Linked DNA regions of Nothobranchius furzeri. The protein of the gene in region 1 interacts with the protein of each later gene in a pairwise test. Links are inferred from orthologs where the notes say so. Each region holds a gene or a part of one and is shown on either strand. Other genes may lie near its edges.

The links.
Region 2: the proteins of transducin-like enhancer protein 1 (region 1) and foxa2 interact in a two-hybrid assay, tested with the Homo sapiens proteins (2 studies listed by BioGRID and IntAct). The link is inferred for Nothobranchius furzeri from reciprocal best matches to the Homo sapiens genes TLE1 and FOXA2.
Region 3: the proteins of transducin-like enhancer protein 1 (region 1) and dazap2 interact in binary tests that used the Homo sapiens proteins (3 or more experiments, as listed by UniProt). The link is inferred for Nothobranchius furzeri from reciprocal best matches to the Homo sapiens genes TLE1 and DAZAP2.

Annotation. Positions count from the first base shown.
Region 1 is NC_091757.1:48,831,975-48,836,616, reverse strand, and holds part of transducin-like enhancer protein 1, read left to right. Parts: intron 1-1,164; coding exon 1,165-1,278; intron 1,279-1,375; coding exon 1,376-1,429; intron 1,430-1,552; coding exon 1,553-1,702; intron 1,703-1,789; coding exon 1,790-1,928; intron 1,929-3,799; coding exon 3,800-3,999; intron 4,000-4,642. UniProt on the Homo sapiens protein: Transcriptional corepressor that binds to a number of transcription factors. Inhibits NF-kappa-B-regulated gene expression. Inhibits the transcriptional activation mediated by FOXA2, and by CTNNB1 and TCF family members in Wnt signaling.
Region 2 is NC_091758.1:36,350,852-36,355,030, reverse strand, and holds foxa2 (forkhead box protein A2), read left to right. Parts: upstream 1-1,379; 5' UTR 1,380-1,641; coding exon 1,642-1,713; intron 1,714-2,242; coding exon 2,243-3,418; 3' UTR 3,419-3,856; downstream 3,857-4,179. UniProt on the Homo sapiens protein: Transcription factor that is involved in embryonic development, establishment of tissue-specific gene expression and regulation of gene expression in differentiated tissues.
Region 3 is NC_091755.1:37,294,029-37,298,008, reverse strand, and holds the start of dazap2 (DAZ-associated protein 2), read left to right. Parts: upstream 1-1,180; 5' UTR 1,181-1,331; coding exon 1,332-1,344; intron 1,345-3,254; coding exon 3,255-3,373; intron 3,374-3,467; coding exon 3,468-3,716; intron 3,717-3,798; coding exon 3,799-3,927; 3' UTR 3,928-3,980. UniProt on the Homo sapiens protein: In unstressed cells, promotes SIAH1-mediated polyubiquitination and degradation of the serine/threonine-protein kinase HIPK2, probably by acting as a loading factor that potentiates complex formation between HIPK2 and ubiquitin ligase SIAH1.

The DNA of each region.
Region 1 (4,642 bases):
TGTTTTGCGGGTCAGTGCTTCTGCTCTCAGCTCACTAAAACCTTTCAATAAAAGGGGAGGAGGAGGTGAAGAGGGCTGGGGAGAGGGAGGGCGGCTGAAGGAAGGGGCCTTGGCAGTCCTCCCTCTCCTTTGCTCCCCCTCTTGTCTCATGTCAACCTTTCTTTTCCTCCATACTCTCACACTCTCTTTCCATCTTCCCTCCTCTAATCTAATCTCCCCCCTTTCCTCCTTTTTTTCTCACCCCTTCCTCCCTACCCATCTCTCCTAGTTGATTCCCCTTCATTTACCCTTTCCCCCTCAAAGTGCTCTCTCTCTTTCTCTCTCTCTCCCCATATGTGTGCATGTGTATGTTGGATGCACATTTCATTGACAGGCTGAAACTATAATGGACTCAACATGAGGCCTTAATCCATTAACAATAGGATCCTTTGGTCAGGAGGCCAGCAAATCCTATTCTGTGTGCGTGTGCGTGCGTGCGTGCGTGCGTGCGTGTGTGTGTGTGTGTGTGTGTGTGTGTGTGTGTCTGTCTGAGAGAGGGAGAGACAGAGTCAGTGTGTGCATTCATGCACCTTTACAAGCATGTGTGTAGTCTTGGGACACAGAGGGACACTGGAATGTTATGCAAGTAATACACAATCTCTTACACACTCAGTAGTACACACATGCTTTCACAGTCAATTACACACACACACGCACACACACACACACACACACACACACACACACACACACACACACACACACACACACACACACACACACACACACACACACTGGAGCTTGTCAGAGCCAGGAGAGGGAGCACTGATAGATTTTGAGAGCCACTTAATGTAATCATCAGCTTCAGAGGCATGTGTTTGTGTTTGACTCTGACTGGCTTTGGTCAAGTGAGAAAAGAGGCTGCTGTAAGTGTTAGCGCTGCTAAATACATGCTGAACTGTTAACCCATATGTGAGCAAGGGTCTGTTTTTCTAACCTGCTCCACACACAGCTGAGGAGCTCTTGTAATTATTGATCTGGTGGTTGAGCAAACTCATGGACAACGTACACTCAGCAAAATGCAATCAAATGTATAAGTGCCCCATTATGAAATGGTTTTCTTTTGTCTACTAATCTGTTCCTTCTCCTCTTTTCTTGCTACAACACTCATCTCTCCTTCTACAGAGTAACTCGCTGTTACCGGAAAGTCTCAGGAACTTTGATAAGCGACGCAATGGTCCCGACCTCACAAACGACACCAAGAAACGCAAAGTGGACGACAAAGACTCTAGCCACTATGTACGATATAGTTCTTAGTTTTATTTTTCCTTTTTTCCCCTTCCAAATACTAATATTTAAATGTGAACGTGTCTTTTGTGGTTTAATTGACTTTTAGGACAGTGATGGAGAAAAAAGTGATGATAACCTGGTGGTGGACGTGTCAAATGAGGTCAGTGTCTAATAATGGCTGGATTCTTTGAATGCTATCTTTTCTGAAGGTGGTATGACTTAATTTCTCTGTAATCTTGCAGTTTTGTTGTCAGGTCATTCACGTTGTTTATTTACCCACCAGGACGCAGCCTCCCCCCGGGGGACACCTCTTGCCTCCCCTAGAGAAAATGGCTTGGATAAAGCACGTCTCCTGAAGAAGGACCCCTGTAGTCCAGCGTCTACTGCCTCATCAGCCAGCTCCTCCTCTCTCAAATCCAAAGAGATGACCATGGTAGAAATCCGTCTCAGCCTATAGTCGGACAGATCCATTAAAATATTTAATAGTGACACAATGCTTGTGAATTTTTCTGTGTGGCAGCGAGAAAAGGCAGGTACACCAGGTCTAAAGTCAAGCACCCCCACACCTAGAGGTGACTCCACCCCTGGTCCAAGCTCCACACCTGGAATCCGACCCAGTCTATCAAAACCCCCATCTATGGAGATACCACATCCGCCCAGTATGTCTATACACGAGCTTAACATGGCTATATTTTTGGGTGGGGAATTAGAAATAATTCAATAATTTTGTTTGTACACTTTGTGAAATGTCTTTGTTTAAACAATGTAAACTGACATAAACTGGTCTTAAGAACTTGTTTTTACACATCCATGGAAAAAAAAATCAACATACTCAATATTAAAGAAACAGGGTATCTGCGGGTCCTTAAAAAGTCTTAAAAAGTCTTAAAAAGTCTTAAATTTGCTTTTCAAAATTTAAGGCCTCAAAAATCCTTAAAAATGACAAATAATCCTTAAATACAGTTTCCAAAGGTCTTAAATTCCCAAAGGTCCACTAAACAAGATTCTTTTATTTCAATAAAAATTTTGTGAATTTCTAGTTAGTGTTCAGGATTTTTTGTGTACGATGTTGGCGTAAGCGGAACCGTACACATTCAGTTGGTTGTGAAAGGGGGCTATTTTTAGATGAGCACATTAGCTGGTTAAGCTAGTGGGAGCTTGCGCCTTGGGGAAGTTTTATGGTAACTGGATGGCTAATCCCACGTTTGCGATGTGGTTAGCACCGGTTCCAGGAAATAGCTGGAAGTTATAGCTTAAATTTATTTAATTTTAAAAATAGCTTAAATTTGGTCAAAGTGGCCTTAAAAAAGGTCTTAAAAAGTCTTAAATTTGGCTCCTTTAAACCTGCAGATACCCTGAAGGAACCTTTCTTGTAATTTCTGCTGTTTTCTTGTAATTTCTGCTGTTTGTTTAGAAATGTGCTTGAAAGGCATACTGTGCAACTTTTTCATATTTTTTAAATCAGTTTCTTGAGCAAGTATGTTCAAAAATGACCCTGTACAAGGTCAATGAAATGTCCCTCAGACACCACCGCCCCCTGTAGCCAGAATATCACACTCGCAACTTTAGAGAGCTGGTCCAGTCTCTGTTAAGCCTGATTCATGCTTCTCCATCAGCTCCGCAAGGGACAAACACGTATGGATTGCCGGAAGCGTTTTGCTCTCATACTTCTCCGTCTCCTGGGGAGTGTTACAAAGCAATTCCCCACCAGGACAACAGAGGGCGTAGCGCTCTTCTGTGGTATGCTGTCATGTATCCGGTCTAAGATAGTGTGTTTATATTGTGTGTTTTTGTATATAAGAGACGTTTTAACACGGGCAAATTTGTCTCTCATCCTCCTCCACCTGTTCATGCGCTCGCCACCTCTAAACTCACATTTCCTGTCATTTCCGTCCACAAATAAAACGCTTGCTGCGCATCTTTTCACTCCTCCAGTCACGGGGGAATTAAACGTTCATATTTTTAGAGTTTTTTCGCGAGGTATTCTTCAAGCTTCTCCGTGTCTGCCGCTAGTTATCCTCGGCTCTCTTTATGTTTTTGAGGGCGCAATGGCGGCGGTGTAGATGACAGCGGCGTCTTGACCAATCACAAGCTTGCGTTCTCCGTCTCGACTGACGGATGTTTAGAAAAGAGAGCTCGACTCTGTCCGTCCTTGCAGAGCTCTCGATTAGGCCCGCAAGGATGTTGCATGTCTCCGCACCGACGCAGACGGAGAAGCATGAGTCAGGCTTTAGTTTTAATAAAGTTCCAGCACGTTTCCTGCATGTTTGGATCATGAACACCGATGATTTGTTTAATTTATTGATGAATCACTCCTGACATTAAGGAAGGCTGAGGAGACATAGCAGCTGTTTGATTAAGGTGTTAAAAAGACAAACGCACAGCGAGGAAATAAGTTTCACTCTTGGTTTTACTAACGGACACTAGGGGGTGCTAAAAGCAAGTCCAAACTGCCTAGTCTCCCTTTCACATATCTTTGACCACAGAGAGAATCCTAAGGATTAGCGATAACTCCTCTCTCCTCTTTCAGCTGCAGGTTTGAGAACTCCTCTGGCGGTTCCAGGTCCGTATCCAGGTGCGTTTGGGATGTTGCCCCACGCAGCAGGGATGAACGGGGAGCTTGCTGGAGCAGCTGGAGCTGCAGCTTATGCTGCTGGATTGCACAACATGTCACCTCAGATGAGCGCTGCAGCTGCAGTCGCGGTGGCTGCGTATGGGCGTTCTCCTATGGTGAGTCATCATTCAGCAAGACCCTTTTTTTAAACTCGACTCTTTAAATATTGTTCTTATGATTCTACTTTACTTAATCCTTGATTTGTGCAACAGTCTTAATGCGAGAATGCTTAAGTAATCTTCATCTCGTCTAAGATTTTATTCCTCCTGTTGCACCTGTCCCCTGATGAAATATTCAGTAGGATGGAGATTTTCTTTCTTCCTGCTTCTGATTTTTTTGTTACTTTTAGATTCTGACAGCTGGAACGGTTTCACCTTCCAGACGTGCAAATTAAAATCACTTGTCACGTCCCGATTAAACGCAGGTGTCGTCCACACGTCAGGGAGTTCACTCACTCTGTGTATTTGTTTTGTTCTACTTCAGTAAATTTACTTTGCCAGGTCTAATTTCAACATGGAGACAAAAACATTCAACTCCCAAGTCTGGATGTTTAGGGGTTCAAACACTGACTGTCTTATATTGCAAAGTGTTTAAAGTGTCAACAGTTGCTCCACAGTGTTGCTCCATTCCTTGTGACGATATTTAAATGGCGTGCTGCTAGTGAGCATTACGTTCAATCACCTTATCACTCTTGGCTGTGTTTGCTAAGTGTTCATTATGCTGTTTAAATAGGTTTAAGAGACTCACAGCTGTGTCTGG
Region 2 (4,179 bases), on another chromosome or scaffold:
CCGAGAAGGCGCAGACTTGTGCGCCTGCGGCTCCCCGCCGGTGCAATCCCAAATCCTCAAACACAGAAAGCTTTTTTCTCATGATCTCATTTCCAAGTTAAGCAGACTCTGTTAGTCCCTCGTCAACACGACAGGTTTACTCGCCTTTACTAATGGGGCTCTGTACTGATAGTTATGCTCCTGCGTAAATATGCAGTCAAATAGATGTACAACCACCGACACGTGGCTGACACCGCTCCGCAGCCTCACCTGGATGTTTGTTTCATACAAATACTGTACGCGCGGCGCTAGTCAGGGGCCCTTTTAGCGCCCCGGTTCTCCTGAGCCTCTTTAACAGAAAAAAGATAAACAGATTATACAAACGTTGTTGTTTAAAGTGACTCTTAAACCAATAGAAACAAAATCGTGTCTGCAAATGGGGAAACAAACGACCAAATGAAGAAGTTGGATATTGATGTTAATATGCCTTAATTAAATATTTTTATCAATTCACATTTTCTTGCTTATATGGTTTGCCACAAATTCATTAAAATTGCACACACACCTTTATTTTAGCGTTTGAAATAAAACGAGCAGCCTTGCATGAAAGAGCAATGCCAGTAACGTCCAACAGAGGGCGCTCTGAAGCTGCACGTGCGTTGCAAATAAATTTACCCAATTAAAAAAGATAAAACATTAATTCAGTAATTCAAGTGGAAAAACCGATTCATTTTTAGAGTTTTTATGGAATTTTACTGTTGATAATTTAAAGAAAATATCACATAAATTCAGTTTTGACTTTAGAATTGAACATTTTGAAGATTAATATTTACATGTATATATTTGTATTTTGCATTATTTGACTTTTAATATTATAAAAATAACATTTAATCAAACTCTAATCCCTATCTTCTTCTTATAAAACCTTTGTTTTTTATTTTTAAATTGAAAATCTAACATTTTAGTAATTTGTAATGGATAATTTATCCCCTTTCTCCTAAAACAAAGTAAAATTTATAAACATCTGTTTAGTTTCACTAAAATCACCCCTGTATTAACTTATGTCGATCTGAATAAAAGAATAAACTTACAGGATAAGATCATAAATGTTTTTAACAATAAAAACGGATTATGATCTGAGTGCAGATGAGTGGAGTCAGGTCGTTGGAGGATGTGCGTAAAAGCGCACAGAGGAAGGGTGCCAAGCATTCCTTTTATAGTTCCTCTTTTTTTACTCCCCTACAATAAGATCAGTTTTATAATGAAGCTTTTCATATGAAACTGTTCTTTTCAGTGCGCGCAGGTGTACCATTGGGTTGGTGGTGGGTGGTGGTGATGGTGGAGGTGGGGTGGGGGAGAAGCTTGAGGAGTCTCACGCCTAGGTGCGAGGAGATTATTCAAATAGGGCCCAAGGCGTAGAAGTAGGGATTGGAGGCTTGCCTGGTGCACAGAGCTATATCACAGCGTTAACAAGCAGCGCGTCATTTGGACTCCAGTCACTGACAGGCGCATCACGGCTGCCTCCCAGCGACACACATGCACCAGTTCTCCACGAAGGGACACAACGACAACCCACACGCACTCAGTGGTCCCTAGTCGCTTGTTATTAGAGAGACACTTTTGGCTTTTCCTCTGCTGGGAGACGCTTTGTGAAAGTCCTCCATGATGCTTGGAGCAGTTAAAATGGAAGGACACGAACACACCGACTGGAGCACCTACTACGGAGAGCCTGAGGTGGGTACCTTAAATATATATTTTTCCCGTCTAAAGCCGATCCCATTTTATACAACTCAATATTAGCCCTGAGATAATATTAACTTTGTGATCAAATATTGACTTGAGGCGCCTCCAAATCCTCCCCCATCTCCACGCAGCGCGCTATTAAAGTTGCCTGACATGTAGTAAGGAGGGGGAAACTTCTCACTCGGATAATGAATCAGATTATTTATTTATATTTTCTTTAAATAAACACGTGTGGTGTTTGATTTTTAGGGATGAGGGCTCCAGTTTTCGTAAAGGAGGCGTTTCATGTGCGGAATTTAAAGGGATCGCGCGTTTCAGAGGATTATTTACCACATTATTTGTCATCATATTCATAAATATTTGTTATTTTTTGATTACACGCTCCTCCATTTTTACATGGCATAAACTTCAAACAGCTGATTTATTAATTTTTTGTTAAATATTACAACAATGTTAAGGAATTATTACAGCAGGTGTTTTCTTTGCCAAACTCATGGATGTGCTTTCCCTTCTCTGACAGTGTTACACCTCTGTTGGCAACATGAACACAGGCCTGGGAATGAACTCTATGAATACCTACATGAGCATGTCCGGAATGAGCACCACGGCCAACATGACGGCCAACTCCATGAACATGTCCTACGTCAACACCGGCATGAGTCCCTCCATGACCGGCATGTCGCCGGGCACCGGGGCCATGAACGGCATGGGCGCAGGCATGACGGCCATGAGCGCAGCTCTGAGCCCCAGCATGAGTCCCATGACCGCGCAGCCCGCGTCCATGAACGCCCTCACGTCCTACACCAACATGAACGCGATGAGCCCCATTTACGGACAGTCCAACATCAACAGATCCAGAGATCCCAAGACTTACCGCAGGAGCTACACGCACGCCAAACCCCCCTATTCCTACATTTCTCTCATCACCATGGCCATCCAGCAGTCTCCCAGTAAGATGCTCACACTGGCTGAGATCTACCAGTGGATAATGGACCTGTTCCCCTTTTACCGACAGAACCAGCAGCGCTGGCAGAACTCCATCCGCCACTCTTTGTCATTCAACGACTGTTTCCTGAAAGTGCCCAGGTCTCCGGATAAACCCGGAAAGGGTTCATTTTGGACTCTCCACCCAGACTCCGGGAACATGTTTGAGAACGGCTGCTACTTGAGGAGGCAGAAGCGCTTCAAGTGTGAGAAGAAGACGGCCATGAAGGATCCCGGGCGCAAAGGGGGAGACGGGGCATCATCTAACTCCAGCTCAGAGAGCTGCAACGGAAACGAGTCCCCGCACTCCAACTCCTCCTCCGCAGACCACAAACGGTCCCTGTCAGACATGAAGGCGAGTCAGGCCCTGAGCCCGGAGCACGCCGCCGCCTCCCCGGTGTCTCAGGGCCAGCACCTCATGTCGCAGCATCACTCTGTCCTGGCGCACGAAGCGCACCTGAAGCCGGAGCACCACTACTCATTCAACCACCCCTTCTCCATCAATAACCTCATGTCTTCGGAGCAGCAGCACCACAAAATGGACCTTAAGACTTACGAGCAGGTGATGCACTACTCTGGGTACGGCTCCCCCATGGCCGGGGCGCTTTCTATGGGCCCAATGACGGGAAAAGCCGGGCTGGATTCTGCGTCTATACCTGACGCGTCTTACTATCAAGGCGTCTATTCAAGGCCAATCATGAACTCCTCATAAACATTCTGCATGTTGGACTTTTTTCCTTGTTTTATTTGTATATTTGTAAAAACAAATCAACACCAACAACATCAGAAACAAACAAAAAATATAGACTTTGTGTACAAAATTGTATTTCAGATATTTTGACGTTTCCCACCGTTTTAGTTGTCAAGTTTATTAGTAGCCTGTTTATTTTGAGGAAGAATGTTGATTATTAAAAAAATCAAATAATAATAATAACATCAACAACGTGACAAGGAATGGACCCCAAAGACACACAACAACTTGCTGTAAGATAGCTTATTTCCGCTTTACGGTATTCCTAAATGACTTTAAACGCATCACAGGATTTGTTCAATCATTTGTGTAATTCCTATTTATGGCTTGTATATGTGTATTTCTTGTAGTGACAAGAACAGAATCTATATTAAAGTGTTATTGGTTTTGTTTTCTGAATATGATGGTGTTTTATTATTATTATTATTTTAATTATTATTATTATATTAGGTTTTTGCTTCGCCATTTTAGTGCTAACTCAAATTCAGTTCCACACAAGCAGAAAATTATGTTATTTTCAATAAATTTTATTAAATAAACACTTCAAATAACAATGATAAATTTAAAGGAAAAAAGTACAAACAAATATTAAATAAACAGTAATTGACTCCCACATTCATGTAATAACTTAGTGGAAATTTCCAATTTTCTGGTATAAATACTAGATATTTATGGGTTTATTTGTTTTAAATTATGGAATTTATTCTCATCCACGCGCTTTT
Region 3 (3,980 bases), on another chromosome or scaffold:
TTTAAAGGTAAATTAGTGTGATGGCACCTGGGGTGGCCAATCAGATTCCAAGGGTGGCATGTGCTACCCCAGGCCACTCCCTGGACACGCCTCTGACCAAAACAAAGTAATTCGTGTGCGATCGTTTATATCAGTCCATATTCTCTGGTACTTCATGTACTTTTCAGCTGACTTCATAATCTGTGCCCCGGTGATTTCAACTTATTGCTGCTGGAGCGCAACGAATATTAAGCTTTTTTTAAAAAAATGTTTATTTTATTTTTTTGTGGGTTTGGTAGATCCCTTTGGCTGATTAGTTAGAAAGTAAGAAATTTAGGGAACAGTTTTTCTGGAAGACGGAGAAAACATGCAGCATGCAGGAAGGTTAGAGAGAAAAAGGGCAGGAAATTATTCAAATAAAATCAAGAAAACAAAACAAAGTGCTTCAAAAGAAAAAAGTAGGTAGATTTATCCCCAATACACATTTTTACCAGTGAAAAGCAATAATATATAAGCATTTAATATTTATACATGTGATAGAATCAGATCACCCCAGAAGTCAGTCCCACATCCAGGGCCATATCAAGGCATTTGGGGACCAAGGCAAATATAGGCTTGGAGCCCCCACCATGCTCAGTTAATATAAGATGGCAGCGTGCTGAGAGTACAGATTGTTGTTGCTTTTATTTAATAAACAATAATTTTAAAGCACTGTTATTATATCTGACTGTTTTTAACAGCAACCCTAGCTAGCTCAGACACATCGACATACATATATGGACAATGGGTTTCCATAGACTTGCTCTTGCATTGTGGGGGCTTGCTCAGACACCACATCACTTTCCACATATATGTCATGAGCTCACTGAGCGTCAGATTACCAGATTCATATTGAAGTTGTATTGTTGAAAGTAACTTAAAGTAGTTCAAAAGTAGTTTAATGCCTTACATTTTAAAATCAGTAATATTGTAATGTAATGAATTACTTTAAAATGAGGGTAACAAGTAATAGATAATGCATTACAGTATTGAAGTAACTTGCCCAACACTGATTGTAGTACGCACTTAAGTATTAATTTCATTTTACGTTTAGCTAATATTTAGGGTTTTTTGTGCTTTTCATATTCCTTTAAAAACAAATCTCATTTCCTCCAGAAGGGGGCGCGCGCGTGCAGGTGAAACTGAGCGTGCGTCCGACCGCAGATAAAGAACGGGTGACGTAACCACTTCCACAACAACAAGAAGCTGAGAAACAAGGAAGTGTCAAGCCGTAAGCTATTATAAGGCCGAGACAAGATACACAAAGCGCCGTTTAATCTGATGTTCCTCAGCCTCCGAATCAGTCCACAACAATGAATAACAAAGGTATTTCTCCGTCGTGTGTTTCATTTTCCAGCTAGCTACTCGTTACTTGACGTTGGCGTTGTAAGGAAAGACGAGGAGCTCGCGTTGTGGCCAACTGAAGCTACGTACATAACAATAAACTGACGCACACTCCGAACCAAGCTGTCTTGGATATTGCTAACGTCGGATGTCCGAATTTAGTTTCACATTTTGTTATTTGACCAAAACGGGCCGGTCAGATGTGTTCCAGCAAGCTAACGTGATTATAAAAGCAAATCTGACATGGCTTTCCTGTTTTTGTTGGGGAGGGGGGGAGTTCTTGTTAACAAAGAACATCCCGGTTACATTTATGTTTTTAGACCTGTTCGGCGCAAAAATGCACCAGGTTGTTTATTTCTTCTTTTGTTTGTCTTATTTGAGCTTAGATTGTCTTTTTGTAGCATGACATCTTTGTTCGTGGCTAATGCTAATGACATTTCATGATATTTTTCTTACTGAATTAATTGTTTCACTAAAGCTAAAATAGAAGCAGACATTTTATTCAAACTGTAATGCGCGATGGTCGATTTGTCATGTTGGAAAGACAAAGAAAATGTAAAATTCACATTTGTTTACTAACCACCAGGCTTTTGTGCGTTGTGTTAATCAGATTCGGCTTTATAATAAAATCTTCCATTTACATTTTATTAATTTCTAATCCGTTCACTTGTGTTTTTACAAGTAATACATTTTTACCCTTTGCTTATACTGTCTGGGCTGAGAAAAGTGATTATGTCTAGTTTCCTGGTATTGTTTGCCATACAATGCACTCAAAACAAAACTAGAAACTCTCTTGGCAGTGACAGACTTGCTACAGTCATCACATAGTTTGTTATAATTATGCACAACAGTTTCAGTTGCTTAAATAAATCCCCCCTGATGATATTAAATAACATGTTTCCATCAATATTTAAACATTGTTCTTTCTTTTACTGCCGCCAAATGTTGGACCTAAAGACACTTTGTGTCAAAATCTGGTTTTTGTTCTTTTGTCTGTAAAATGTAGAAACGTTCAAAGTTGTACCCGAAAAAGACCAACGTTAGCTTCAGTATACAAGACATTGGGATTTTCTGTAACGTGTACCACTCAGTAGTTGCGTTCACATCAGTAATAATTTCATGTATTTAGCTGTAAATGTAATCAGCTCCCTCCCATCTCCACTCAGAAGCAGCATCAGTTTATTTATGATGATGATGATGATTGAGAAGAAGTACTTGCAGCTTAATGTTAGTAGTCAAAGTCATTAGTAATAATCAGGGATGTGTATTTTTGTAATTCTGGCGATACGATACATATCACGATACAGGGGAGACGATACGATGTATCCTGATATATTGCGATACATTCAGTCAGACGTTACAAGCTATTTTTTACTGAATTTATTATAAGCATGTTCAATAAACAGTCAAAACTGATATGTAACATGTTTAACATGAGGTATCTGAACCATGATGGAGGGATTTACAGTTCAATGGTGGAAACAAAACCCGTTGCACACTGCTGCCAACTAGCGGGTGGCGATTGAATTGCACAAAACGAAAAGAAAATACACAAATGTTTGCATGTTTGCATTCTTTCAAGAATTAGATACACGGCTTTTGAATATCAATGTAATAATCACAGGGAAAAATATCACGATATATTGCCATATCGATATTTCCTATATGCGGCTTTTGAATATCGATATAATATTGCTGGAAAAATATCGCGATATATTGCCATATCGATATTTCTGATACACAGCTTTTGAATATCGATATAATATTGCTGCGAAAAATATCACGATATATTGCCATATCGATATTTTCTTACATCCCTAGTAATAATGAAACGGTTCTCATCCCATAATTCTTCAGCTGTGCGTGTTTAAAAGTGAAATGTTGTTTTGCAGGCTCATACCCACAGCAGGCTGTGTACCCTCAGCAGAGCTCTGCACCTGTATACCCTCCTGCTATGCAAATGTCTCCTCAGGCACCTCCATACTCAGACACACCACCTGCATATTCTGAGGTAACGCTTGCATCTACAGGTCAAGCCTAGATTAGCTTTTTTTTTTTTTTTAGTATTCTTCAATTAAATCTGTTTCTCGTGTCTTTGTATGCAGATATACCAGCCCAGATACGTGCTTCCACCTCAGGTGCCTGGTCAGGTGCCTCAGATGTCCTCTCCCTACCCTGGTGCTCAGGTGTACATGCCCATGCAGCCACACATGCCCGTTGGTCCGGTGGGCCAGAACGTTCCCATGGCTTACTATCACATGGGAGCTGTTTACCCCCCTGGTTCAACAGTGATGGTGGACGGTGGCTTTGATGCTGGAGCTCGTTTCACAGCTGGCAGCAGTGTTTCCATCCCAGTGAGTACGGAGTGACTTAACCTGTAGCCAAGGCCTTTGTAACTCTTAACCTGCCACTGAGCTCGTTTCTCCTCTTCTCTAGCCCCCACCCCCTGGACACCCCCCTAATGCAGCTCAGCTGGCTGCCATGCAGGGTGCCAATGTTGTCATGACACAGCGCAAGAACAACTTCTTCCTGGGCGGATCCAGTGGAGGTTATACCATCTGGTAACAGCAGCTACTCCCCTCCTTGTTTATGCCTAAACCGTACCCCCGTCCCAGATG